Linked DNA regions of Macaca mulatta. The protein of the gene in region 1 binds, or shares a complex with, the protein of each later gene. Links are inferred from orthologs where the notes say so. Each region holds a gene or a part of one and is shown on either strand. Other genes may lie near its edges.

Region 1 (6,717 bases):
CACTTGTAGTCCCTAGCTACTCAGGAGGGTCATGCAGGTGAATCCCTTGAACCCGGGAGGCAGAGGTTGCGGTGAGCCCTGATCATACCACTGCCCTCCAGCGTGGGAGACAGATTGAGACCTTGTCTCAAAAAACAAAACAAACAACCTTAATTCATAGAATTGTTATGAAGATTATGTTAGAGAGGCCATAAAACAACAGTATCTGTCACGTAGTTGCCTTAGGAAAATGACAACCTAAGTACAGGAATGCACATCGTGTAGGAAAGTACAGAGCAGCACTCCTCACCTAAAAAGGTTTGAGTGGAATGAAACGTAAGGTGTCAAAAACTGTGTTTTGAAGTACCAGATCAATGTTAATTCCTTGATTTTGGTAATTGTGCTGTGGGTAGAAGAAAACATTCTTGTCCTGGGAAAACACATTGAAGTATTCAGGGGTGAAGGAATGAGAAACCAATAAAGCAAATGAAGGAAAATGTTAACATTTGGAGAATCTGAGTGAAGAATATGAAGTGTTCTTTGTATATTCATGCACTTTTTCTGTAATCTGAATTTATGTTATAAGTTTTAAAATGTTGGCTGGGAGTGGTGGCTCACACCTGTAGTCCCAGCACTTTGGGAGGCCAAGGCAGGAGGATTGCTTGACCTCAGGAGTTCAAAACCAGCCGGAGTAACATGGCAAAACTCTGTCTCTACAAAATATACAAAAATTAGCTGGGCGTGGTGACATTTGCCTCGTACTCCCAGCTGCTTGGGAGGTTGAGGTGGGAGGATGGCTTGAGCCTGGGAGGTCGAGGCTGCATCATCCTATGCACTACTGTGGCATGGTGGAAACTCAGGGCTGCACCACGCCTGCCCTTAGTACCTCACGAATTCTAAGTATAATATTGCTTCTAATAGAATACTTGCCCCACCTGATGTTAGAGGGTGTTATATCTTGAAACTTTGATAATACCAGTGTAAAGGAGCACTTCAGAATCTTCTCATTGGATGGTATATCTAGGCTTAAGGTAGAGTAAGTAGAGGTTATTATGGCCATAGAAGATACTGGGTTTGAACCTGGGGTTTGAAATTTCTGTGATAGTTGTAGGGAAGTTAATGTGTCCATACAGGCCGGGCGCGGTGGCTCACACCTGTAATCCCAGCACTTTGGGAGGCCAGGGTGGGCGGATCACCTGAGGTGGGGAATTAAGAGACCAATTTGGCCAACATGGCGAAATCCTGTCTCTACTAAAAATACAAAAATTAGCCGGGCATGGTGGTGTGCGCCTGTAATCCCAGCTACTTGGGAGGCTGAGGCAGGAGAATTGCTTGAGCCCAGGAGGCGGAGGTTGCAGTGAGCTGAGATCGCACCACTGCACTCCAGCCTGGGCATCAGAGCAAGACTCCGTCTCAAAAAAAAAAAAAAAAAAAAAAAAGTTAATGTGTCCATATAAAATTGCATAGTTTACTGTGACAAAAAGGATATGGAACTGAATCATTTCATTCAGGAACTTTGGATAATACCATGTCTTTAGGATTTAGCAGTGTTAATTTTGTCAGTGTTTATGAGAGATACAAGTAAGTGTTTGCTATTGGAAATCAATCTGTAACATAAAGCAAAAGTGATTCTGATATGAGATTGGGAGACAACGTGTAGTTTGGTTATGGAGGAGTAGAGAAATGGGGGCATAAATGGTGAAGGGTGTGGAATCCAGAAGATTTTCTTGTTTTTTTTTTGAGACAGATTTTCGCTCTGTCGCCCAGGCTGGAATGCAGTGGTACAGTCTCGGCTCACTGCAAGCTCCGCCTCCTGGGTTCACACCATTCTCCTGTCTCAGCCTCCTGAGTAACTGGGACTACAGGCACCCGCCACCATGCCCGGCTAATTTTTTTTGTCTTTTAGTAGAGACAGAGTTTCACCCTGTTAGCTAGGATGGTCTCGATCTCCTGACCCTGTGATCCGCCTGCCTCGGCCTCCCAAAGTGCTGGGATTACAGGTGTGAGCCATCGCACCCGGTGGAAGATTTTCTTTAGAGATCAGAAGATGCTACAGATTTTTTCATGCTGATGAAATTATTAGGGAGAGAATGGAAAATATGTGAATGGTTGAGAATATAATGCCTACTTAGAAAATATGGCAAACTTTACCTATCATAAATGTTAGTTTTAGAAACCAAGGAGATCATCTTGTCTTGGACCCCAAACTACTGGAAGAAAAGGAAGAAAATATTCTGTCTGTAGTTATGAAATGTAACAGGTTTGTTTTGTGGCTCTAATAAATCTTTGGTCTGTGTCCATAGGTTCTTGATAGTCCACAATGGGTGAACCACAGCAAGTAAGTGCACTTCCACCACCTCCAATGCAATATATCAAGGAATATACAGATGAAAATATTCAAGAAGGCTTAGCTCCCAAGCCTCCCCCTCCAATAAAAGATAGTTACATGATGTTTGGCAATCAGTTCCAATGCGATGATCTTATCATCCGCCCTTTGGAAAGTCAGGGCATCGAACGGCTTCATCCTATGCAGTTTGATCACAAAAAAGAACTGAGAAAACTTAATATGTCTATCCTTATTAATTTCTTGGACCTTTTAGATATTTTAATAAGGAGCCCTGGGAGTATAAAACGAGAAGAGAAACTAGAAGATCTTAAGCTGCTTTTTGTACACGTGCATCATCTTATAAATGAATACCGACCCCACCAAGCAAGAGAGACCTTGAGAGTCATGATGGAGGTCCAGAAACGTCAACGGCTTGAAACAGCTGAGAGGTTTCAAAAGCACCTAGAACGAGTAATTGAAATGATTCAGAATTGCTTGGCTTCTTTGCCTGATGATTTGCCTCATTCAGAAGCAGGAATGAGAGTAAAAACTGAACCAATGGATGCTGATGATAGCAACAATTGTACTGGACAGAATGAACAAAGAGAAAATTCAGGTCATAGGAGAGATCAGATTATAGAGAAAGATGCTGCCTTGTGTGTCCTAATTGATGAAATGAATGAAAGACCATGAAAGATGTTTATGTTTCTTTTTTCCTTTTGATAAATAGCCTCATATATTAGTTTATTTTCTTTTGGACAGTCTTAAGAGAGGTTTCAGTAAAAATGTAAACAGCTTTAATCTTGACTCCAACTTTTTCAATTATGAGATGTCATAGGCAGTAATTTCACTGTATAACAAGCATAGACAAATGAGTACCCCTGCACTAAGAATAATCACTTTAAAAAGCAAAGTGTTCACCGCTGTTGTATGGGACATTTCTATGTTTTGGAGTTGCAGTAAAACTTTGATGATAACCTCAGTAATAGCAAAAGTTTTCGTCTTTGAAAAGGGGATTTATCATTTGCTTTAAGAATGATAGAGGAATAATGGATATCAATCTATAAATGTAAAACTATGATATCTTTAAACTTATTCCATTAAAAATTTTGCTTAAGCTGCAAAAGGTAGTATAACATGTTAATAGAGAGGAGCCCAGAAGAATTATAAAACAGAAACTTTATTTTTTCCTCATGACTGCTCCTGTAAACCCACTATCTCAGTCTTTTCTCCCTATCCTGAATGGACTCTTGCAGGCAAGTCCCATGAATTGTTTTTATCACTCAGGTAATAAGTCCTTTGGCCATTTTAAGTTACAGACATTAATTTTAGTAATTAAGATGTCTATGTCATTAGCTACACATTTTCTTTAAAGCTAAGCCCAGACTTGCTTAAGTCCACAATGGGAAAGGGGTTTGACGGCAGAGACTGCTAGGTGTCTACCAGAGAGTCTTGTTCTTTGAAGATACGTTGCCAAGATGTGGCAACCCAACCAGGGACATTTCCGTACTGCCAGCATCTCTGTGAGAACATATGATTAAGTTCTAGGCAGTGAAATGTGGGCATAGGAATCCAGGCTTGCCCCATAAACATTTCTTGCATGATCCTCCATTCTTTTCTCCCAACTGCTGGTTGCATGGTCATATCCAGGATAAGTTTGGAAGCCACCGAAGATGGCAAAGATTGTCAGTCTGGGTCTTTGAATGACTGTGAGGACTAAGTCTTCTTTTCATTAACTCCACTCTGCCCCTCACTAATTGGACTTTATGTGAGCACTTTCTTCTCCCCACTGTCCATCACCTCTTCCACCAAGGTGTTAGTAGAGAGTTGACTTTGTTTCTGAGGATCTTTGCCTGCCATTTTCTTAATGTAGGCCAGTGGTTCTTAAAGTGTGTGGTCCTGGACCAGCAGCATTGGTACCATTTGGGGACTCACTAGAAATAAAAGTTTTAGTATAATCCATAGGTTCAGAAAAATAAAAAATAAATGAAGTTTCTCTAGCTCCATCCCAGACCTTTTCAACCAGAAAGTTGAAAAGACCAGCGGGGGCAACATAGTGAGAACTTCTCTCCATTGCTATTTAATTTTAAAAGGAAAGAATATAGGGTATGTTGATTGAAGGATAAGTTGAATATATAAACCATGAGGAGGACAGAAAGTGTCTGAAGTTTTGAGTTAGTAGCCCTGGAGACCATCCTTCCTGTGAGCTTCATTCTCTTTACTGATGAACTTCTTTAATGATGTAGGTGGAGAACATGGCAACTAACAGTTCCCATGTGTTAAGCATTTCTATGTTTACCACTGTCTGGGAGTTCGCTCTCAAATACGAAAAAAAATGAGGTTAATTAACGACCTAGACATGAGGAATTAGGGATTGCATACTTGATTCCAACTGGGCAAATCAACTGGGACTTGGCTCCCAGAATAATTTGACAGTCCCCACTATGTCTATGTATGGAAGAGTCAGTCTGTCTCAGAGGAAGGAAGTGGTGCTGAACTAACAACGAGATATCCACTACAGATCAGGCACGTGTAAACTTAATATAAATAGCAAAAATAAACTGTACAAATCTGTGTTCTCTTTATGAGAGTAGTTTTTCCCCAGCTATTCATTTATTCATGGTATTCATTTGATGAATACTTACTGTGGTCACCTCTATGCCTGATGCTAGTTTAAGTGTTGGATGTGTCGGAAGGGCGAAGGAAAATGTAACTAAGAAAACGAATTGATTTTTGAAGGTGATAGTTTGTGTCTTAACCATTCAGCCATTACAGCACCTTCAGAAGAATCTTGCTTCCAGTTATGTTTCTATTGTCTGTTCAAATCACCTTGTCCACATTATCTTCTCTTTTCAAGGCATGTGTACATGTTCACTTCTTTTTTATCTCTTAAAACTTTTTTTTTTTATTTTTTGAGATGAAGTCTCATTCTTTCGCCAGGCTGGAGTGCAGTGGCGCAATCTGGGGCCACTGCAACCTCCAACTCCCAGGTTCAAGCGATGCTCCTGCCTCAGCCTCCCGAGTAGCTGGGACTACAGGCACGTGCCACCATGCCCACTAAATTTTGTATTTTTGGCCGGGCGCGGTGGCTCAAGCCTGTAATCCCAGCACTTTGGGAGGCCGAGACGGGCGGATCACGAGGTCAGGAGATCGAGACCATCCTGGCTAACACAATGAAACCCCGTCTCTACTAAAAATACAAAAAAATTAGCCGGGCGAGGTGGCAGGCGCCTGTAGTCCCAGCTACTCGGGAGGCTGAGGCAGGAGAATGGCGGGAACCCGGGAGGCGGAGCTTGCAGTGAGCCGAGATAGCGCCACTGCACTCCAGCCTGGGCGACAGAGCGAGACTCCGTCTCAAAAAAAAAAAAAAAAAAAATTTGTATTTTTAGTAGAGAAGGAGTTTCACCATGTTGACCAGGATGGCCTGGATCTCCTGACCTCGTGATCTGCCCGCCTGGGCCTCTCAAAAGTGCTGGGATTACAGGAGTGAGCCACCATTCTTGGCCTAAAATTTTTTTTTTCTCTTTGAGTAGAGATGAGGTCTCACTATGTTACCCAGGTTGGTTTCAAACTCCTGAGCTCAAGTAATCCTCCAGCCTCCCAAAGTGCTGGGATTACAGGAGTGAACCACCATGCCTAACCTCACATTTGTTAAGGACTTTAGAAGACAACTTTGCCAGGTATGGTGACTCACACCTGTGATTCCACCACTGAGAGACTGAGGCGGGAGGATCACTTGAGTCCAGGAGTTCGAGACCCACCTGGGCAACATAGGGAGACCCTGTCTCTACAAAGAAATGTAAAAATTAGCTGGATGTGATGGCACATGCCTGTGGTTTCAGCCATTCCAGAGGCTGAAGTAGAAGGATCACTGGAGTCCAGGAGGTCAAGGCTGCAGTGAGCCACGGTCATGCCACTGTACTCCAGCCTGGGTGACAGAGCAAGACCCTGTCTCAAAAACATAAAAGAAGGCAGCTTCAACTCATGCACTGAGCTCCAAGATTACTGGGAACGGCAGGTGCAAATATCTCACGAGGAGATACAAAGTTGGCATAACTTGGATGAGAAAGGCTATGATGGCTACAATATCGTGAGGGAGGAGGTTGGAGCTTGAGAAGCAGATGGAGGACAGATGTATATGATTTAGAGGGTCAAGGGAAGGAGTTGGGTTTTTATTTGAAATCTGATGAGAAATTATGTTTGCAATTGATTTCTCATCAGATTTTACTAAAATACAGAGAATCAGTAGGAAGGGTACTAGCTGTCCTTTGATAGCTTTCTAAGTACCACAAATTGTGCTAAGTGCTTTGTAGCCATTCTCTTCTTTAGTCCTTGGAATAATCCTATGAAGAACCTTCTAAATCTGTTGGGATTTATGGCTGTAAGTGGCTGGCAATGTTTGAAGCTGTTTG
Region 2 (7,500 bases), on another chromosome or scaffold:
AAGAGGGGGGCCTCTTTGCAGCTGAGATAAGATGAAGGCTTCTGTCTCCTGCTAGTCCCTGAGAATGGAATGTCTCAGTGTAAAGCCGACCATTCCCATTCGTTCTATTCTGAGACAGGAGAAAACCGCCCTGTGGCTGGAGGTGAGACATGCTGGCAGCAATACTGCTCTGTTGCTCTGTGCTACACTGAGATGTTTGTGGAAAGTGAAACATAAATCTAGCCTATGTGCACATCCAGGCACAGCACCTTTCCTTGAACTTATTCATGATACAGATTCCTTTGCTCACATGTTTCCCTGCTGACCTTCTCCCTACCTGTTGCCCTGCTACACTCGCCTCACCAAGATAGTAAAAATAATGATCAATAAATACTGAGGGAACTCAGAGACCGGCGCCGGTGCAGGTCCTCGCATGCTGAGTGTGCTGTTCCCCTGGGCTCACTGTTCTTTCTCTATACTTTGTCTCTGTGTCTTATTTCTTTTCTCAGTCTTTGGTCTCCGCCTGACGAGAAATACCACAGGTGTGGGGAGGCAGGCCCCCTTCAGGAAGAAAGCAGATAAAGCCAAAGTTGCACAAGTGATATGCAAATGACTCAAGTGTGGAAAATAGGATACTACAGCAATGATTCTAAAACTTTAATGTGTATATGAACCACTTCTTAAAATGCTGATGGATTCCTTAGGCCTGGAGTGGGGCCTGAGCTCTGCATTTCTAAAAAGCTCCCAAATGAAACCAATGCTGATGATGTGAACACCACATTGAATAGAGGGCTTAACACATGCTTCTAAGATAGTAACTTCCAAGACATTAAAGGTTTGCTATCTACGCAATGAAAATACACAGTTGCTCTAATTGTTGGTTGCTTATGCTAGAATGCTCTATTCACACCTGCCCTGGCTAACTCCCTTTCATGACAGCATTAGTAGTTAAAATGAACCAGGATGTAAGTTCCAGCCGGGTGGCCTTCAACAAGGTACTTAACCTCCCTAAGGTTCAGTTTCTTCAACTGTAAAATAATGTGACAACCAAGAGAATGGTCTCAAGCAGCATTTAGTCAGTAACTAGAATTCAGACATGCAGTGATTACATCAGAATACATTAGATGACAGTAAAGAATCGTACTCTGATAGGCTACATGTCCACAAGATGAAACAGCGGCAGTATAAAAGGGAAGTTCCACATTCGGTGTTTTTAAAAATAAACAAGATAGGGAGAACATTGATGAAAATAACTGAAGGATTTTAATTGACGTAATGCTCCCAGCAAGTCAACAATGTGATCCTCTCCCACCCCCACCCTCAAAAGTAACATAAGGTATATGTCCACGTGAAGAAAAGAAAGGACCTCTGGCCCACTGTACTCTGACCACACATGAAGGCCTGTGTTTAGTTCCTGGCTGAACTGCATAAAGTACCACTGCCAAACATCCAGCGGAGGGAACCTGAACTCCGGGACACCACGGCACAACGGCTGAGGGTAGTTGAGAAACACAGATGGAGAGAGATGTTATAGTGACACCTACTGGCTACCAACGAAGCAGGCCAAGTGGTAGAAAGTGTCCCTTCCACCAGCTGGAAAGCAGCTAGTAGTGACAGCTGCTCTCAGCTTCAGCCAGTTGTTGACTTGGGAGAATTAAGATCTATGGTTACTAGATCTTCCAGATTTGAAAGAGTAGCGGGAAATCTGCATTTGTTATATAAAACTTTCTGATCTTCAAATGTTGGCAAGTATTAAAAAAAAAAAAAAAACTAAAATCTTCTGCAGACTGAATAAAATGCCCAAAAGGGGCTAATCTGCAATCTCTCTTGAATGTAAGTATCTGGAAGGTTGTTGTCCTCAAGAGGGTATAGAATGGTTCTAGCTCAATCCAGGGACAACCAAGTTATCAAAATTAATGTCACCAGTAGTGGGACAAATAGACTTCATGTGACTGCAGATAGATGAAGGATAACACTACAATCAGACTAGAGCTACAAGGAGAGACATTATATCACAATATAAGGAATAACTTTCTAACATCTGGCTAACAATCAAATCAGCTGTCCCTGACAGAGTAACATGGGCTCAGTGAAAACCTCCAGAGTGTAGATGACCATCTCTCGGCAACGTTTTGGGTAAGATTAAACTTGTTGGTGGCTAAGGCTTCCAACACTGAGTCTGTAAATCTACATACATACAACATTTGTTGAAATCTATTTTTCTTAAAAGTCTTTTCTTTGGATTATTAAATGGATAAAAAGCCAGAAAAGGTGCAAAGGGTCCTGAAGGCAATATAAGATGTATATGCTTCGTGAGTCAATTGTTATTGGACACAGAAAAGTGACTTCGAAACAAGTTTGAAACATTTTCCTCTCAAACTTTTTTTTTTTTAAGGTTCACTATTGCTTTCTACCTGCTTAAGACAAAGCAGGGATGAGTTCAAGGTGTTTTTTTTTTTTTTTTTTTAATCATTAAAAGGGAATAGGTTTGTGGTTATATGCTTCTTGCAATTCAGTAAGCCTTAACACAAAAGTGTCGCTGAATGACCTGAATGGTAAATATATATATATATATATATAAATGAGTTAATGCATATGAAGCATTTAGCACTGTTTCTGGCACATAAGAGGCCTTAAATAAAAGATAGCAACTCTAAGACTCAGGTTAACATCACCTCCTCCAAATAACCCCAGAAACACCTTCCTTACAGATACCCTCTTTTAATTTCAGCCCATGGCTTATGTCACTTCATTTACAGACTGTGAGTTCTTCGGGACCAGAAACCTGGTGAGATGGGGAGGGTGGTGAAAGACAAGGTCAGACAAGGCAGGGCCAGATCATATAGGGCTTTAGCCCAAGAAAAGAGACTGGATTTTATTCTGCATGGTATGGAAAGTCATGGAAAGGTTCTAAGCAAGAAAGTAAAGTGTTCTGATTTATATTTTTAAATGACTAAGTTGGTTTCTGTGTAGAAAGCTGTTTTGCTTGGTTTGGTTTGGGGTGGGGGGGGGGCAGGAAGGTAAAAGTGGAAGCAGAGATAACCAGGGAGTAGATTACTGCAGTGATACAAGTTAGAGATGAGAGTGTCTTGTGTTAAGATGGTGACAACGAAAAGAAGTGGAGAGATTCCAAATACATTTTTGCCAATGTGAAACGAAGAAATCTATCATATCATAAAGTATACACATGCTTAGGATTATAAAAATTAAACTTACTTTAGATACTTGGCATATTCTGGGTCTTTCCAGTAAAGCAAGTATTTAAGATAATTAACAAAAGCTTTGTCTTTGAAGTAACCTCTTTGGGCAAGAACTGAAAAGCATTAAAAAAAAAAAATGTCTGTAGGTCAAACCAATCTTTAAACTATGCTTTGTTACCCCTAATGTAAAGGATCTATTTACATAAAACCCCCACCACCAACACACATTGAATTCAAAACACAAATCCCAGTGCGCAATTATATCTATATACCAGCATAAGTGTAATGTCATTCAATTGAGAATGTGTAAAAGTAGATACTATTTTGAATTGCAACTCTTCTGTCAGAAATCATTAGTAGCTACTCAATTTAATGAGGTGCTTAACAACTTACAATTAAGGTAATTTGGGTTGGCTAAACATTGCACAAATTCCAACTCCAACTGAAACCGAAGTCGATTTCCAGCATCATCTAGGAGACAAGACAGCAAAAATCATGGAAAGTAAGGGTCACTGTATATAATACTGATTTGTAGTAAGGAAACAGCAATAAAGAAACCTGACTAATGCCGAGATGGTCTTCCTAAACTGGGAGTTGGGGGAGATAAACCTTTCTTCGAAATCTAAGAAAAGCGGAGCCCTGATTAAAAGGAGTTAGAAGTTTCTCTAAAATTAAAGAGAAATCATCAAAGAAAGCAGCAACACAAACGGAGAATTCCTAAGATCACTAAGGTAGGCTGTAACAACTATGGCTTCCCCTATGTTAATAATGCGTTATAACAATTGTTAACAGTGATTAAGTTTTGCAAAAGCTACGTGCTGAATCAGTTAAGAAAAAGTTAGGATGCAAGAGACTGCGCAGAGCCTAAAAGATCATGGAGCGTATGCATATAAGAAGCACCAGTAGCAGAATGACACATAAAGTCCGGCGACGATATTTCAAACTTAGGCAAGCTCATGTGAGAAGCAGAAAACCAATCAAGGAGGAGACGGTTTAACACACAAGTCCTCTCCCTTAGTCTCACCCACGCCGGGGAGCTGGTAGGGTGGTGTCTGAATAGCAAAGATGTGCGAACAAACCAAATTAGGAAAACTGCAAAGAGTACCTTAGTCTTTCTAGACGCTACAAGAGCCTTCTCACCTCCTTGTCCAAATATTAACCCTGCCGAGAGTAAGGCCTGGAAGGAGGCCACGGGGAAGCCGTCTGGACCGAGGGGAGTTCCATCTGCGAAGACTCCAAGATCAGAGAGCTACTCACCTGTCTCCATAGCGACGGCAGCGGCCATAACAAACGAAGACACCAAAACGCCACCAGCCTGACCGAGCAAAAGCCCAGAGTGGCGGGGGAAGTTCCGGAAACCACGGCTCTCTCTTCCGGTCCCGGGGCACTGTGGGATATGGGGCCGGGCGGCTCCGCCCATCCCGCCAGCCCTGGGATGGCTCCACCCGCGCTGGCTCCAAAATAGCGAGGGGGCGGGGCCCGGGCCGTGGGAGCGCCTGAGGGGCAGGAGCCCAGTGTTTTTAGCCTTGGAAGGATCATGGTGTTTCCACGTCATCGTGTTGTGGCGCTCCCGGCTATGGCAGTACCGTAGTTTTCCTCTCTTCTGCCTGCGGTGACCGTTGGGCTGGGGGGTGCCCCGAGGCCTCCTTGGCCCCCTCACGCCGGCAGAATGGCCTCAGCCCGAGGGGCCAAGCAGTCTTCTCCCCGGGTGGGGACCACCCGCTACACAGAGACGTCCACAGTCCGCGTGGAGACCTCGTCCCACCGTGTGGAGACCTCGTCCCACCGCGTGGAGACGTCGTCCCGGCGGGTGGAGACCTCCCAGCGCCGCAGCGAGGGGCCCTCCCTCTCCCCCTTGGGGAAGCGGCTCCCTGGCATCCTCGAGGCGTCCTCCCGGCACGTGGAATCCTCCTCGCAGCGCACGGAAACGACGTCCCGCCACATCAGGGCCTCGTCCCTGAGGGTGGAGACGGCTCTGCACTGCGCGGAGAGCCCAGCCCCGCGGGCCAAGCCGGCCGCCCGCCAGAACGAAAAACCGGCCCGATGAGATGCTGCTTCCCAAAGGCCACCAAGGGGCCAGGGCCCTCAGCCAGGACAGAAAGGCCTCCAGTTGCCAGCCAGCCAGCCAGCTGCCAGGTGGACCAATCATTTTCGGTTTCATGGAAACAAACCATAAATCAATGGAAGAAACAGCCAAGCCGCAGTTTCTGAACACAGCCAACGTTTATTGACCATCCTGCGTCTTGGACCAGCCTACTTTTGACCCAGTGAACTATTTTCACTTGAAGCCAGCACAAAAGATTTTCATGCCCAGGATGCTGTCTAAATTGGCTTGATGGACAAAGAGGCTGTTTGAGCCTCTGAGCCAGGTGAGTTTGGGATCCACAGCCCTCAGAAGACCTTCACCCCTTAGGAACAGAGACCAAACTGAAATCATGACCTGTGGAATGATTCCATGCCTGCTAGAAACTTGAGGGGCAAGGAACAGACTCATAAATTATTAATGGCCTTTGTTTATGTTTCAAGGTAACTGGTGGTTTTCTTTATGCTAAGTCTTTGTACCTGGCACTCCCATCCATACACTTTTTAAAGGTAGGTTAGATGTAGTTAAAAATGACAGTAAACCCACCAGCAAGCAAAAATAATCTTAGAAGAGAAAGTGAGAGGAGGCCATTGAAACCTGGTCTGAGGTTTGAAGAAGATGGAGAAGAGTCATATTTATTGAGAACCTGCTCTGTGCCAGGTACTAGATGTTCCTCCACTTACAATGGGGTTACCTCCCATTAAAACTATTGTAAGTTGAAAATACGGTAATTTGAAAAGGCACTTAATATCCCTAACCTACTAAACATCATAGCTTAGCCTAGCCTACCTTAAACATGCTCAGAACACCTAACGTTGAGCAAAATCATCTAACAGAAAGCCCATTTTATAATAAAATGTTGAATATCTCATGTAATTTATTGCATACTGTACTAAAAGTGAAAAACAATGGTTGTATGAGTGCTCAAAGTACTATTTCTCCTGGTCGCTTTTGTACCATTGTAAAGTCGAAAAATCATAAGTCAAACCATCTTAAGTTGGGGACTGCCTGTATTCTGGGAACTTGGGCTATAGCAGTAAAAAAAACCAAAGTCCCAGCTGTAGTGGAGCTTACACTCTGGTGAAAAGGCCGACAAGCAATGACAAAACGAGACAATTTTCTATTGTGATTAGCACTATGAAGGAAATATATGGGTCATGTGATAGAGAATGGAAGTAAGAGGCTTCTTTTGATAAAATGGTCGGGGAAGTCCTTGCTGATTAGGTAACATTTAATCTGAGATATGTGTGAATGAACAGTGATCTGGAACATGTGCATTCTAGGCAGAAGAACAGCAAATACAAAAGCTAGAAGGGAACAAGCTTTGAATGTTCAAGGAACAGAAAGAAGGCCAGTGTGGCTGGAGGGAGAGAGAGGCGATTATATAGACATGGAAGCAGAACTGAAGGGAGGAGTTAGAAGCAAGCAGGGGCCAGTCCACAGAAGGTCTTCTAAGCCACAGAAAGGAATTTGAGATTTATTCTAAGGTCAATAGGAAAACATTGAAGGGTTTTCAACAGAGGAATGATATGATGCCATTTACATTTTATGTGGGACAGTGGTCCTCAACTAAGTGTGATTTTGACCCCAGAGGATATATGGCAACCTCTAGAGACATTTTAGTTTGGTAGACAAGTTAGGGGGAGTGGGTAGCACATTAGGTGCTACTGGCACCTAGTGGGTAGAGGCTGGGGATGCCACCTCATATCCTACAGTGCACAGGTCAACACCCTTCCCTCTGCCAACAATGAAGAATCACTGGTCCCAAAATGTCAATAGTGCCGAGGCTGAGAAACACAGTTCTAGCAGCTTGGAAAGCTAGAGCATGGTCCATTAGGACAGCATGCCACTTCTACATAGCAGGATTGTAGTGAGACCTAAGAAACAGTCATGGAAGAGGGTTGACTTTAAAGGTAAAGAGAAATCATTAAAGAAAACAGCAGCACAAATCGGACACAATACCTACCACTTGTGGGCCACTGTGTAGGAATTTTAACAGTGATCACTAAGGTAGGCTGTAATAACTGTGACGTCCCCTATTTTAATAATGCATTGTAACAATTGTTAACAGTGATTAAGTTTTGCAAAAGCTACCTGCTGAGTCAGTTAAGAAAAACTTAGGATGCAAACTGAACAAGAGACTCCAAAGAGCCTAAAAGATGATGGAGCATATCATATGTAAGAAGCACAAGTAGCAGAATGATACACAAGTCTGGCGACGATATTTCAAACGTATGC
Region 3 (6,700 bases), on another chromosome or scaffold:
GGAGGTGAAGACTCCAGGGTCTGAGGGAGGAGGGTCTGGGGGCCAGGATTCTTGGGTTTGAGGCAGGAGGCACTGAGGGCCTGGACTCCTGGGTCTGAGGGAGGAGGCACTGGGGGCCTGGACTCCTGGGTCTGAGGGAGGAGGCACTGCGGGCCTGGACTCCTGGGTCTGAGGGAGGAGGCACTGGGGGCCTGGACTCTTGGGTCTGAGGGAGGAGGCACTGGGGGCCTGGACTCTTGGGTCTGAGGGAGGAGGCACTGGGGTCTGGACTCTTGGGTCTGAGAGAGGAGGCACTGGGGGCCTGGACTCAGTCACAGAATAGTCACAGACTGGCGACCAGCTTTGCTTACTCTCTTTTTTTGAAACAGAGTCTGGCTCTGTTACCCAGGCTGGAGTGCAGTGGTGTGATCTTGGCTTACTGCAGCCTCTGCCTCCTGGGTTCAAGCAATTCTCGTGTTTCAGCCTCCCGAGTAGCTGGGATTATAGACGCCCGCCATCACGCCCAGCTAATTTTTGTATCTTTAGTAGAGACGAGGTTTCACCATGTTGGCCAGGCTGCTTTCGAACTCCTGGCCTCACGTGATCTGCCTGACTCGGTCTCACAAAATCCTGGGATTACAGACGTGAGCCTCCACACCTAGCCCACTTAGTCTTACTGACAAAACCAGAACGTAGAGTCTCCCGGGGCAGGCAATACCAGGTTTCAGGGTCTCCTGCCTCAAAGCCCAGTGGGAATTGTGGTTGTAGGACTGGTGCTGTCCAGCCACACAGCAGCTGTGGTAGGTTGGGCGCTGGCCCCAACACCCCTATGGAGGGGGCCCGTCATGACTGCTGGGTCCCTCTCCTATAGCGGGGGATCCACTTCTCCATCGTCTCTCCCCGGAAGCTGCCTGCACTTCGGCTTCTGTTTGAGAAGGCAGCCCCCCCGGCCTTGCTAGAGCCGCTGCAGCCTCCGACAGATGTGAGCCAGGACCCAAGGCACATGGTGCTGGTTCGGGGGCTCGTGCTGCCCGGTGAGGCCTGGGCACCGCGCGCGGGGATCGGGGGCTCAACGTGTTTCCCAGCTCCCTCTGACTTGGATTTTGGATTTCTCTCCCCTTTCTCCATCTTGAATCCCTTCTTTCCGGGGTTGGCCATCCCTCCTGCTCTCAGTTGGGGGTGGCTCTGCCCCAGGCCCCCTCCAGCCAAAGCAGCCAGTCCCCCTGCCTCCTGCCGCACCCTCCGGTGCCACTCTCTCAGCAGCTCCCCAGCAGCCTCTGCCCCCCGTCCCCCCGCAGTACCAGGTATGGATGTTTCCAGGAAGGGACATGCTTCTGGGGACTTGCTGGAGCCCTGGCCCCTGGGGAGAGATCTAGTTGCATGTTGGAGCTTGTGGGATGATGGGAGTCCCATGGGACATTGGGAGGGTGGGACTCCTGGGGCCATGGAAGCTCATCTGCTAGGTGATGGGTGTCGTGAGCTTCTGAGCTCTCCCAGCTGGGGCAGCTGTGCCTTGTGGGGCCGTGGGTGGTGTGACCTCGTGGGACACCAGGATTGGAGGGCCATGGTCCTCACCAGTCCCTTTCCTTCTTCCCTTCTACCCACAGGTTCCTGGGAACCTGAGTGCAGCTCAGGTGGCCGCCCAGAATGCAGTGGAGGCCGCCAAGAACCAGAAGGCTGGGCTGGGCCCTCGCTGTGAGTCCTGGGGCGAGAATGAAGGGGCGGGCAGGGGCCAGGCAGGCCTCCCTCCACACACTTGTTCCTCACTTCTTCCCTTGGTCTCTCCCACAGTCTCGCCCATCACCCCTCTCCAGCAAGCTGCTCCCGGAGTGGGTCCCCCCTTCAGCCAGGCCCCAGCTCCCCAACTACCCCCAGGACCCCCTGGTGCCCCCAAGCCACCACCTGCTTCCCAGCCCAGTCTGGTCTCCACCGTGGCCCCTGGCTCCGGTCTGGCTCCCACAGCGCAGCCCGGGGCACCGTCCATGGTAGGTGCCTGCACACCTCCTGCCCCCACTCCTTCCTCCTGCTGCCCACAGCTAGGACAGTTAGAGGATGAGTCATTTGCCTTCCAGGGGGGTGTGGATCTGGTGGCCCTGGGGCCTTGGGGGTTCGTGGTACGTGTGCTGCAGATGCCTGAGATGAGGGTCTGGGGACGGAATGGGGAGGCTCATGGCTCCAGGTGGGTCAGGGCTGTTCTGAGAAACCCAAGGAATCCCTGGGTTTGGGAGTCCGGGGCATCACACAGCTTATGAGTCCTGGAATCCTGCAGCATCCAAGCATTTCGGGTCCTGGGGCTGGCCAAGTGCTCTTCTGGGAATGGATGAGCAGAAGAAGGGGCCTTTCCTTCTTCCTGGTTTGCCCTCACAGGATGGCCCCTGGAGGCCCCCCTCTTTCCCCATTCTCATGGCCCTCCTTCCTCCTCTCTGGCAGGCAGGCACTGTGGCCCCAGGAGGGGTGAGTGGCCCTTCCCCAGCCCAGCTAGGAGCCCCAGCCCTCGGTGGGCAGCAGTCAGTCTCCAATAAGCTTCTGGCATGGAGCGGGGTCCTCGAGTGGCAGGAGGTGAGGGGCCTGAGGGTCCATTGGGCACTTGGGACTCCTGGGGCCATGGGGCTGGGCATGTGGGACTCATGGGTCACATGCATGGGGTTTGCAATGCTGGGTTTGGGGGCATTCCTTGGGCTGGACCCGTGGGATCCGGGACCAGGCCAGGAGCCCCATGGCGCAGTGGGACTTGCGGTACAGAAGAGAGTCCCCATGCAAAGAACCCAGAAAAGCCTAGGATTTGGGGCCCAGAGAAGGGCCCAGGTGATGTAGCACCTGGGGCACAGTGGATTGTGGGATTTAGGGGCCGGGCACGTAGCCCTAACATTTGAGGAATTGAAGGTTTGCTGGTCTGGAGGAGGGGCCAGGGGCTCATGGGACTTAAACTGGGGAACATCCTGAGCTTTGGGGCCAGCAGGCTAGGACATGAGGGCTCAAGGGGACTGAGGCTTATGGCCCTTTTTACTTTGACATGCTCTTTTTCCCCCTCAGAAACCCAAACCTGCCTCAGTGGATGCCAACACCAAGCTGACACGGTCACTGCCCTGCCAGGTCTATGTGAATCATGGCGAGAACCTGTAGGTGACTGTCGGGTGGGGTGCGGTGGGGCTGGGGCTGGCCCCCTCCTCACACCTCTCCTGGCATCACCCCCCCAGGAAGACTGAGCAGTGGCCCCAGAAGCTGATCATGCAGCTCATCCCCCAGCAGCTGCTGGTGAGTGGTGGTGGAGGGCCAGCCCTGCTGCCAGGCAGCCCTCACCCTACTGTCTCTTCCCTGTTCCCTGCCCTACCCCCACTCCCTGCCTCGTGTCCCCACCTCACTTGCCCACACCAACATGCCAGCTGACTTCTGTGTCTCCCGCAGACCACCCTGGGCCCTTTGTTCCGGAACTCAAGGATGGTCCAGTTCCATTTCACCAACAAGGACCTGGAGTCTCTCAAAGGCCTCTACCGCATCATGGGCAATGGCTTCGTGAGTCCAGGGCATTGGGGGCCGAGGGGCATTAACTCTTGTACTGCTTTCTGCTGACCTTTGAAGGGAATCCCAGAGTGCCTGGGCCCATGGAAGCCGTTTTTGATGGTTGGGTGGACTTCATGCCCTTAGGTTCCTCGCCTTTCTTCTAGAGCCTTGACTTTTATTATAATCATCGTATGCACCAGATTGAGGGATATTCCACATTAAAAATGTGAGCTGGATGTGACTGGAGCAGTTAGGAGGAAGCTGTTGATTCTGGCATGGGTTTATGGGATGTGTTGGTTTCCTGTGGCTGCGGTAACACATTACCACAAGCAGAGGGGCTCAAAACAACAGAAATGTGTTCGATCCCAGTTCTAGAGGCCAGAAGCCCAAGGTCAGGGTGTTGGCAGGACCGCGCTCTCTCTAGAGGCTCGAGGGAAGGCCTCCTCATTGCCTCTTCTAGCCAGTAACCCCAGGCTGCAGGTGGCATCGCTCCAGGGTCTTCCTTGATCCTGTGGCTGTCTTCCCTCTGTGTGTGTCTCTATGTGGCATTTTCTGTATCTCTGTGTCCCTGTGCTTATAAGGACATCAATCATTTTGGATTAGGCCCCATTTTCCTGATCTCATCTTACTACAACTGCAAAGACCTTCTTTCCAGATAGAGTCTGGAAAAGGTGCTGGAGACTGGAACCTCAGTTTAGCTTTCTGGTTTTGTTTTTTGAGACAGAGTTTCACTCTTGTCACCCAGGCTGGAATGTAGTAGTGCAATCTTGGCTCACAGCAACTTCCGTCTCCCGGGTTCAAGCGATTCTCCTGCCTCAGCCTCCCGAGTAGCTGGGATTACAGGCATGTGCCACTATGCCTGGCTAATTTCTGTATTTTTTAGTAGAGACAGGGTTTCACCACGTTGGCCAGGCTGGTCTCGAACTTCTGACCTCAAGTGATCTGCCGCCTTGGCCTCCCAAAGTGCTAGGATTACCAGTGTGAGCCACCGCACCCAGCCTCAGCATAGCTTTCTGGGAGACACAGTTCACCTTGTAACTCGGGGAAGGAGCAGATCAGTTACTTCTGTGCACCAGGCATTCCTGCACGAAAGAGGACCTTAGGGATCACCTCATGGGATCCTCACAGAACCGTGTGAAGAAGGCATTCCTGAGAGTTAGGAGTGCTTCTGGCTGCAAATAACATAGTTTTCCAAACAAATAGATAATTGGGGGCACTCAGAAAAAATTTTCTCTTATGATTCTGTGAGTCACCTGGGCTCAGTGGCCATCTCGCTTGGGGACTCTCATGGAATTGCCATCAGATGGCAGCTGAGACTCTGGTCGTCTGAAAGCTTGACTGGGCTGGATGTTCAAAATAGGCGCTCCTCATAGGCCGGGCGTGGTGGCTCATGCCTGTAATCCTAGAACTTTGGGAGGCCGAGGTGGGCGGATCACGAGGTCAGGAAGATTGAGACCATCCTGACTAACACGGTGAAACCCCATCTCTACTAAAAATACAAAAAATTAGCCGGGCGTGGTGGCGGACGCCTGTAGTCCCAGCTGCTCCGGAGGCTGAGGCAGGAGATTGGCGTGAACCCGGGAGGCGGAGCTTGCAGTGAGCCAAGATCGCACCACTGCACTCCAGCCTGGGACAGAGCGAGACTCCGTCTCAAAAAACAAAACAAAACAAACAAAAACAGCTCCTCACACAGCACTGGCTGTTGGCTGGGGCTTGGCTAGGACCGGCCATCCCAGTGTCTGCACATGGCCTGTCCACATGGCCACACTGTGGCAGCTGAGTTCTGAGAGGACAGGCGTTGTAGGAGCAGGCATTTATTTTTTTGCACAGAACAGGACATCCAGAGGGGGCCAGCTATTGGGGTTGGTTTCATAGGTCTGTGACATCAGGGGCAGGGCCCTGTGGTTCTCTTGACCTCTCCTGTATAGTCACAGGGTAGCTCCCATGGCTCCAGGCATTCCGTATGCCTTCATGAAGGAGGGGAAGGGGGCTGTGTATTTCCCTTTCTTCAAGACAGCAGAGACTTTCTCAGATTCCCGAGCAGGCCTCCCTTTCACCTCCTGGCCCAGACCTAGGCCACTGGGCAGCACCTAGTTGATGGGAGGCTGCTGGGAGCAGATATCCATGACTGTCTGGGGCTGGGACATGTTGCAGCCCCAGGTGGCATTGGGAATGCAGGGGAGGAGGACACTTGGATTTGGATTAGGCAGCTAGCAGTGTCTGTCTCAGGCAGGAAACTGAGGCTCAGAGAAGTCAGCTCACTTGGCCTAGGTCAGCCTCGCCTCCCTCAGGAGCCCCTGCCCTGAATGCTCCATGTGTTACCCCCCTGATGACCAGTGATGTTTCCTGGGTGCTTCCTGTGGGCTGAGCCTCGGGCAGGGCTCTTGCTGTGGATCGGACATCCCATAGTCACAGCGACCCTGTGATGTGGGAGCACTCCCCGTGGGGTACACTGGCCGATGCTGAGGCCTGGAGGATCTCTTGAGGCCCGGGGTCCGACACCACCATTGATCACAGGCCTGTGGGTACCGACCGCGCTCTGCATCTAAGCCTCTCTGTCACGGCTGTGACTCTCAGCAGCCCTTTAAGGAGGCAGCCGTGGCATTTAATGCCCAAGGAAACTGGGGCATCCCATGAGGAGCAGGTGATGGCCAAAGGTTGAAGAGCTGGGCTCCAGCGCTTTCTCTCCACTTTCCCTCTCAGTGCGCAGCCAGAACCCCAGCTTGCCCTGAGTGCCTCAGTTTCTGTCTCTGGAGCAGCCCACAGCACACCTGTTCTCCTCAACCTTCTATAGCAGAAACCTCACCTCCCCTTGCCCAGGGGGCCTCTAGAATCTTCTCGAGTGGGGAGGGGGTCAGGGCTCCCTCTTTCAGGGCATAAATGGTTCTGAAGAGCTGTTGTCCACCCAGGCGGGCTGCGTGCATTTCCCCCACACGGCGCCCTGTGAGGTGCGTGTGCTCATGCTCCTGTACTCGTCCAAGAAGAAGATTTTCATGGGCCTCATCCCTTATGACCAGAGCGGCTTCGTCAACGGCATCCGGCAGGTCATCACCAACCACAAGCAGGTCCAGCAGCAGAAGCTGGAGCAGCAGCAGCGAGGAGTGAGTGGTCACAGTCCCCAAACCAGCACTGCGACCCCCTCCTGCCCGGGCCCCACATGGCCCCCCGGGATCTCCAGGACCACAGACGCCCACCCTTCTCCCAATACATGGCACCCCTA
Region 4 (7,227 bases), on another chromosome or scaffold:
GCTAGGCCCCAATCCAAAGATTCGGTTACAAAGTGAGTCAAGAGAGTTGCTGAAGTCAGAGCGCTCAAAACTATGGCTATCCAGCACTTCCAAAGTATGAAGCACCCGTCCAATGGTGAAGCCTAAGGAGGAAAAGTGGTAAAGGGGACTGAACTAGAGGCCCAGTGCATTCTGGCTCTCAGATCTACATGTCCTTACTATCTCCATCCTTTCCTCAAACATACTTCCTATTATCTGTTCTCCGACACATACCTGCAGTAGCTTCCTGGCATTTATCGAAAGACCAGCGAACTTCAACTGCCTGTCCCCGCTCCTTGATCTGCTGCTCGATCTCCCGCAACTTTGCACGGACCTGCAATGTTAAAAAGGAAGGCTATAAGGATGTACCAAGGCATACAAAAGGCCAGAGCCCCAGGCTAGAAGAATAGTACCAGACTCCAAATCACTATTTCTGAGAGAGCACTTTAGCCTCATAGCCCAATCTGAGAGTACCAGGCGAGTGGTCAGACATACCTGCTGAGTGAAGGCACTGTTACCCTCTGGCATGGGCAGGTTGGAGGGGGCAATAGGCAAGTGGTCAAGTGGTGAGCCGGTCTTAATTCTGCTATCAGTCAGTGAGTAGTGCCAAACCAAGGCACTAGGACAACACAGGAGGATGGTCTGCCAGATAGAAACAGCTAAGTCCAACTCGTTCACATGGCTACCCCTCTGGAATCCCATTCTAAGACCAAACCCGTAGATTCCAGATCCAAAGTTATTCTGACTGGGCCCCCAAGACAGGCATCACTCCACCCGATCCCCTCCCTTCACTCACTTTCCTAAAAGGCTCTGGGCCTACTATTTAGCCCTGGAAGGGAGAGAGAGGCTGGTCAAAACCCCCAAAGGGGACTAACACCCCATTACCAAGAAACCACCACCTCCAAGCAAGTACTCAGCACCTACTCCCACATCCAATTTGGAATTACCCCTATACTCTGGGATGGGCACCCAATTCTTCTCAGGTTATCTCTCAATGCTTCCTTGGGCCCGCCTAGTACCTACCTGTAGGATACAGCTGAGGCCAAAAACCAGGGGCCGGTGCTGAGGGCACATAAGCAGGTCACTAAAGGGAGTCGAGGGGGTGCTGCTAGTTGGGGGCTGAGGAGCAGGGGTGGTGGGTAGCGAGCTTGTTGACTGAGCAGATATAACATGAGATGAGTGACTGCTCACACCATCTAGCTGCAGGGCCAGTCTCCGTGTACAAAAGTAGGCAAGGCGGCGGGACAGGTACGCAGACTGAACAAATTCCCCAGAGTACTGTGAAGACATGACCATCAGAGCCCCTAGTTCTCTCCAGGGGACCCTGCTCTGACATTTTATTCTTCCTTAAATCCTTCTTAGACTCCCCCTGCCCCACCACCACCAAAATTCCAAGCCTTACTCGGAGAAGCAGGGGCAGGAGCAGTTTAAGCAATTCATCTTCTCCAGGGCGGATCTTCTCAAAACACTCAAGCACCCAGGTCAGGAACTCATGTCTGTCCAGCATTCCATCCTATGGGTACCAGGGGAGGGAAGAGGGGACTATTAGAGATGAAGCAGATAAAGTAAATGAAAAGATGAAGAGAACCACAACTGGGGCAAGGTGGCAAGCAGATTCTGTTCTCTATTGGCAGAGTACAAGTTCAGGCTCAACCTAATGCCCCACACAGCATGCCCTACTCCCTACCTGAAACATGAACATGGCCAGCTTCTCAGTGTAATCCCACTGCCGGATTGCCACCTCTACATCATGGGGCAAGGGCCCTATCGTGGAACCACAGCCCCCACCTCCTGCAGGCCCTGGCCGGTAGTATTCAGCCATCTTCTGTAACTGCTCCCATAAGTACTTGGTGATGATCTGAGTCCATTCTGGAGGAAACAGGGAAAAAGGGCTATTTGATACTATCCTTCTGCTTAGAATTTCCTTCTACTGGCCGGTGCGGTGGCTCACGCCTGTAATCCCAGCACTTTGGGAGGCTGAGGTGGATCACGAGGTCAGGAGTTCGAGACCAGCCTGGCCAAGATGGTGAAACCCCGTCTCTACTAAAAATACAAAAACTAGCCGGGCGCAGGGGTGGGCACCTGTAATCCCAGCTACTTGGGAGGCTGAGACAGGATAATCACTTGAACCCGGGAGGTGGAGGTTGCAGTGAGCCAAGATCCTGCCACTGCACTCTAGCCTGGGTGACAGAGCAAGACTCTGTCTCAAAAAAAAAAAAAAAAAAAAGAATATCCTTCTACTTAGAATACCTTACCCCACTCCCAATCACCCACCATATTTGTAAATTCAGTTCATCCTTTGTCTCTAGTCAAATCCCACCTTCCTAAAGCCTTTCTGGGTATCCCCATAAGAAAGTAATCTTTTGTCCACTCAAAGAACCTTCTGCTCCTAGCTTGACATTCACCACCTTCTATATTTAATTATGTTATTTGTACATATACCTTAGCAGCCCTGTTAGACTACTAGTATCCTAGGGGCAGAGATTATGCACTGGACGTTTTTGTAGACCAGTATATGTGCACAGTAGACACTCAAATTTCTCAGTGTTTACTGATCAAGCAAATGCAAGAAACAAGCAGAAACAAGGAATCTAGATTAAGAAGGAGGATGTTTGCAAGGGTGTCTCTATCCCTCCTTGAAGCCATCAGCCGTACACCTGGTGTTAGGAGTTACTCACCCATGAAAGGGTCAACATGTCTCTTCTTAACCTTGGTCTCAGAGATTGCTGCATAGTAGGCACAGGTCATCTTAATGAGCCAGGCAGCCCGCATCACAGGCACTGTGTATTTGGCTAAGTACCCAAACACTTCTTCCTTCTTACTGAAAATGGGGACCTGGATGGACATTGCAAATAGTGAGGTCTCTATTATCCCCATGAGCTGACACCCATGTAGCTTAATATGGGAATAGGAGGATACTTGGTACCCTATGCTCCCTCCTTGGCCTGAAGGACAGGAAACAGTACCTTACCTTTTTGGCTAGTTGCGTGAGTGGCTTGGTGCCAGCCAAGTCAGTGAACCAAGTATTTATGGCACTCTGGGATCGTGCAGTCACCAGCCAGAAGTTGTCCTTCTGGTTCACTTGGGGCTTCCTGCGACCAGTGTCAGGGAGGGTATTACAACGTAACTTCTCTGCAATAATGCTGCTGAAGTTGGAACTGATCTGAGGGAAGAAAACTGTACCTCAGGGTGGGAAGAAGGGGCAGACAGGTGGCCTGCCTTTTGCTGGGCAAATGCCAATGAGACAGCATTAGGTCATGAAGGCAAACTCAGCCACTTAGGTTGTCCCTATAAGTCTTCCCTACCCAGGGCCTTTGCTCCTTCTCAGATTCTTCCAGCCTTTTCCTTCAGCCTGGCAGAGTTGTCTCACCTTGGCAGGATTGAAGCTGACGTTCTTGGCACTGCCATGTTCATCCCCAGAGACAGCAGGCTGGTTATTGAAACCTTGTTTTACATTCAAGGCCGTCAGTTCATCCTGAGGCAGGAAAGCGGCGTTTAGTTGTTTTTTCCTTAGGGGGAGGGGGAGGGGATGGGAGAGTAGGGCAGGAGAAGCGAAGGAACAAGGTGAAAGGGCAGGAGGAGGGTTCCGTGTAGCACAGATCGTTACTTAAAGCTGGGCCCTTACATTCACTTGGACCCCACCGTCACCCCCATGGTCACTACGATTCCCAATCACCCAGGGCGCCCTCAAACATCACTCTTCTCTTGCGAACATCCGAGCAGCCGTACCCCACCAAGCTGTCTCAGACAACTTTCTGAGATGTGTGTGGAGGAGGGCGCTTCTGGTGCGGCCCCTACACCACCCCCTATTCATACCTTGGAACCCCCCACCGCGCCCCGTCCTGCCCTCCCACGCCAGCCCACTTTACTCTTCCCCCTTTCGGGACTTTCGCTCTCACCGAACCGCCCCGCCCCCCATTCCCAGACGTCAATGCCTCCTCCTAGGCTGACCGCGTGCCCCCGGCCCTTCCAGAGCCCCGATTTTCGAACGCACCTCCTTCTGTTTGGGGTCCTGAGGGTAAACATCGGGAGGCCCCAGCCGCGGCCGCTTCAGGGGCCGGTGTTCGTAGCTCAAGATCCCGAAGGCCGCCATCTTGCCCAGCCCGTAGCGCCGGAGGCGCCAGCAGGGCCAGGCTGACTGGGGGAACGGGAAGGGGGAGAGGGAGCCGAAAAGGGGGGCGGTGGTTGAGAGGACGGCGGCCGAGAGACAACAAGGGGGCACGTTAGAAACTCTCGACCATTGCCGGAAACTACCGAGGGAAGCCGAGGGACGCCGGGAACCATCGGACAATACCGACCGCAGAGGGGGTGGGGCCTGGCCCGGTGGGGGCGGAGCTCCGTGCCCCGGGAGTTTTTCGGCGGCGGCGGCGGTAAGTTGATTTCACTCAGCAAAAATCTACGAAACGTTCCGGAGGCGCAGAGTGAGCTGGGGATGCAAACCAGGGAAGAGGGAGGCCTCTGTGGTGCTGAGTTCTGACTGGAATTCGGTTCCCAGAGCCTAGCTCGGTTTTGGCCTAGAAAAGTCTTCAATAATATTTGCATTGGTTAGGAACTCCGTCTATTACAAATCAGTTCGTTTCTTAGTTCCGGCATCTGAAAAATAGGTGCGCTAACACCTCCTTCAAGGGGCTATTGTGAACATTAGAAACTACGTATGCATGAGAAAGAACCTATTAAACCCTGAAAGGCTGGCTCTAATCCCTCAAGGTCTACCATCGAGTTGTCTAACCTTTTTTGTTTGTTTTTTCTGCCCAAGGGTACCGCAGAGTAACTTTTTTGATTCACAAACCCTTAAAGGTGCTAATGAAAGCTATGGACCTTCTTCCCAGAAATAATAATAATATGCATATATTGACATGCAAAATGTTACTTTAGATTCTTAGATCCCCTGAAGCTCATCCATGTATCCCCTAAGGGTCCATGAACTCCAGGTTAAGAACCCTTGGTCTAGCGAAAGAGGCACCTACTGTGTCAGATGCTTTTCAGACACTATCTCCTTTAATCTGCTCACAGCCTCATGAGTTAGGGATTATTATTGGCTCGATTTTGCAGATGAGGAAGCTGGTTTTCAAAGTGTGAAAATTCACTTACCCAGTATTATACAGCTACTGAGTAACAGAGCTGGCACTAAGATTCTCAATTCCAGAGCCAATATCCTATTGTCGTATTGCTATTTGTTTATTTATTTTGAGGCAGATTCTCCCTCTGTCACCCAGGCTGGAGTGCAGTGGCGCGATCACGGCTCACTGCAGCCTCAACCTCCTGGACTCCAGCGATCCTCCTGCCTCAGCCTCCCAGTAGCCGGGACTACAGGCGTGCGACACTGTGCCGGCCTTGTATTGCCTTCTAGAGAAAAGACAGCCAGTGTACTATAACAAAAGTAGCAAATAACAATAAACAAAAATAACACCAGTAACAAAAATAAAATGCTATTGAATCACAATGGAAAGAAAAAGTAATTCAAGGCGGGAGCGATGGCTCACGTCTGTAATTCCAGCACTTTGGGAGGCCAAGGCGGGTGGATCACTTGAGGTCAGGAGTTCAAGACCAGCCTGGCCAACGTGGTGAAACCCCATCTCTACTAAAAATACAAAAATTAGCTGGTGTGGTAGTGGGCGCCTGTAATGCCAGCTGCTTGGGAGGCTGAGGTAACATTTGAACTAACTCTGAAGGATATTTTTATTTTTGTTTATTTTGTTTTATTTCTTTATTATTTTATTTATTGCTTTTATTTATTTATTGCTTTGCTCTTGTTGCCCAGGCTGGAGTGCAGTGGCATGATCTCGGCTCACTGCAACCTCCGCCTCCCAGGGTCAAGTGATTCTCCTGCCTCAGCCTCCCCAGTAGCTGGGATTACAGGCTCACGCCATCACGCCTGGCTAATTTTTGTATTTTTAGTAGAGACGGGGTTTCTCCATGTTGGCCAGGCTGGTCTCGAACTCATGACCTCAAGTGATCCTCCCACCTCAGTCTCCCAAAGTGCTGGGATTACAGGTGTGAGCCACCACGCTCAGCCTGAAAGATATTTTATTTATTTATTTATTTGTTTATTTATTTATTTATTTTGAGACGGAGTTTCATTCCTGTTGACCAGACTGGAGTGCAATGGCGCGATCTCAGCTCACTGCAACCTCTGCCTCCCTGGTTCAAGCGATTCTCCTGCCTCAGACTCCTGCGTAGCTGGGATTATAGGCATGTGCTGCCATGCCTGGCTAATTTTTTCTTTTCCTTTTTTTTTTTTTTTTTTGTATTTTTAGTAGAGACGGGGTTTCTCCATGTTGGTCAGGCTGGTCAGGCGATCCACCTGCCTCGGCCTCTCAAAGTGTTGGGATTACAGGCGTGAGCCACCGACCTGAAGGATATTTTTAAAAGATAATTTTTCTTTTCTTTTCTTTTCTTTTCTTTTCTTTTCTTTTCTTTTCTCCTTCCTTCCTTCCCTCCCTCCCTCCTTCCCTCCTTCCTTCCTTCCTTTCTTCTTCCTTCCTTCCTTCTTCAGGGTCTCACTCAGTGGCCCAGGCTAGAGTGCAGTGGTGCAATCTCACTTCACTGCAACCTCCACCTCCCGGGCTCAAGCAAATCTCCCACCTCAGCCTCCCAAGTACCAAGGACCACAGGCGCAAGCCACCACACTTGGTTAATTTTTGCTTTTTTTTTTTTTTTGGTGGTGACGGGGTTTTGCTGTGTTGCTCAGGCTGGTCTCAAACTCCTGGTTTCCAGCGATCCACCCACCTTGGCCTCCTAAAGTGCTGGGATTACAGGCGTGAGCCACAGCACCCGGACTAAAAGAATTTTTTTTTTTTGAGACGGAGTCTCGCTCCGTTGCCCAGGCTGGAGTGCAGTGGCGCGATCTCCGCTCACTGCAAGCTCCGCCGCCTCCCGGGTTCATGCCATTCTCCTGCCTCAGCCTCCCGAGAAGCTGGGACTACAGGCGCCTGCCACCATGCCCGGCTAGTTTTTTTGCATTTTTTAGTAGAGACGGGGTTTCACCGTGTTTGCCGGGATGGTCTCGATCTCCTGACCTCGTGATCCGCCTGCCTTGGCCTCCCAAAGTGCTGGGATTAGAGGCGTGAGCCACCACGCCCGACCCTAAAAGAATTTTTTAGAGCAGTTTTAGGTTCACAGCAAAATTGAGAGGAAGGTACAGAGAATTCCTATATACTGTCTGCCCTCACACATAGATGGTATATTTGTTACAGTTGATGGACCTAC

Evidence for each region.
Region 2: the proteins of MED7 (region 1) and MED31 are in contact, whole or in part, in a cryo-EM structure (PDB 7EMF), measured with the Homo sapiens proteins. The link is inferred for Macaca mulatta from reciprocal best matches to the Homo sapiens genes MED7 and MED31. Residues at the interface, in NP_001094286.1 of Homo sapiens: Met15, Gln16, Tyr17, Ile18, Lys19, Tyr21, Thr22, Asn25, Ile26, Lys33, Pro34, Pro35, Pro36, Pro37, Ile38, Lys39, Asp40, Tyr42, Met43, Met44, Phe45, Gly46, Gln48, Gln50, Asp52; in NP_057144.1 of Homo sapiens: Asn14, Arg15, Leu16, Arg17, Phe18, Gln19, Leu20, Glu21, Leu22, Glu23, Phe24, Gln26, Tyr33, Phe36, Leu37, Tyr42, Asp45, Ala47, Phe48, Asn50, Tyr51, Tyr54, Tyr57, Glu62, Tyr63, Lys65, Tyr66, Lys68, Tyr69.
Region 3: MED7 (region 1) and MED25 share a complex: the UniProt entries of both Homo sapiens proteins name them as parts of the mediator complex. The link is inferred for Macaca mulatta from reciprocal best matches to the Homo sapiens genes MED7 and MED25.
Region 4: MED7 (region 1) and MED12 share a complex: the UniProt entries of both Homo sapiens proteins name them as parts of the mediator complex. The link is inferred for Macaca mulatta from reciprocal best matches to the Homo sapiens genes MED7 and MED12.

What each region holds. Positions count from the first base shown.
Region 1 is NC_133411.1:166,002,705-166,009,421, reverse strand, and holds the end of MED7 (mediator of RNA polymerase II transcription subunit 7), read left to right. Parts: intron 1-2,282; 5' UTR 2,283-2,299; coding exon 2,300-2,998; 3' UTR 2,999-4,875; downstream 4,876-6,717. UniProt on the Homo sapiens protein: Component of the Mediator complex, a coactivator involved in the regulated transcription of nearly all RNA polymerase II-dependent genes.
Region 2 is NC_133421.1:8,130,061-8,137,560, forward strand, and holds the start of MED31 (mediator of RNA polymerase II transcription subunit 31), read right to left. Parts: upstream 4,565-7,500; 5' UTR 4,465-4,564; coding exon 4,437-4,464; intron 3,651-4,436; coding exon 3,573-3,650; intron 3,293-3,572; coding exon 3,196-3,292; intron 456-3,195; exon of another isoform or gene 1-455. Other genes in the region: C16H17orf100 (uncharacterized protein C17orf100 homolog), read left to right, coding at 4,849-5,226. UniProt on the Homo sapiens protein: Component of the Mediator complex, a coactivator involved in the regulated transcription of nearly all RNA polymerase II-dependent genes.
Region 3 is NC_133424.1:62,292,638-62,299,337, forward strand, and holds part of MED25 (mediator of RNA polymerase II transcription subunit 25), read left to right. Parts: coding exon 1-4; intron 5-850; coding exon 851-1,013; intron 1,014-1,152; coding exon 1,153-1,283; intron 1,284-1,586; coding exon 1,587-1,674; intron 1,675-1,770; coding exon 1,771-1,964; coding exon of another isoform or gene 1,965-2,014; intron 2,015-2,360; coding exon of another isoform or gene 2,361-2,409; coding exon 2,410-2,538; intron 2,539-3,012; coding exon 3,013-3,098; intron 3,099-3,176; coding exon 3,177-3,234; intron 3,235-3,384; coding exon 3,385-3,492; intron 3,493-6,374; coding exon 6,375-6,581; coding exon of another isoform or gene 6,582-6,594; intron 6,595-6,700. UniProt on the Homo sapiens protein: Component of the Mediator complex, a coactivator involved in the regulated transcription of nearly all RNA polymerase II-dependent genes.
Region 4 is NC_133426.1:77,580,478-77,587,704, reverse strand, and holds the start of MED12 (mediator of RNA polymerase II transcription subunit 12), read right to left. Parts: upstream 4,141-7,227; 5' UTR 4,112-4,140; coding exon 4,013-4,111; exon of another isoform or gene 3,936-4,012; intron 3,494-3,935; coding exon 3,389-3,493; intron 3,182-3,388; coding exon 2,990-3,181; intron 2,854-2,989; coding exon 2,697-2,853; intron 1,888-2,696; coding exon 1,706-1,887; intron 1,532-1,705; coding exon 1,421-1,531; intron 1,297-1,420; coding exon 1,042-1,296; intron 661-1,041; coding exon 514-660; intron 353-513; coding exon 253-352; intron 123-252; coding exon 1-122. UniProt on the Homo sapiens protein: Component of the Mediator complex, a coactivator involved in the regulated transcription of nearly all RNA polymerase II-dependent genes.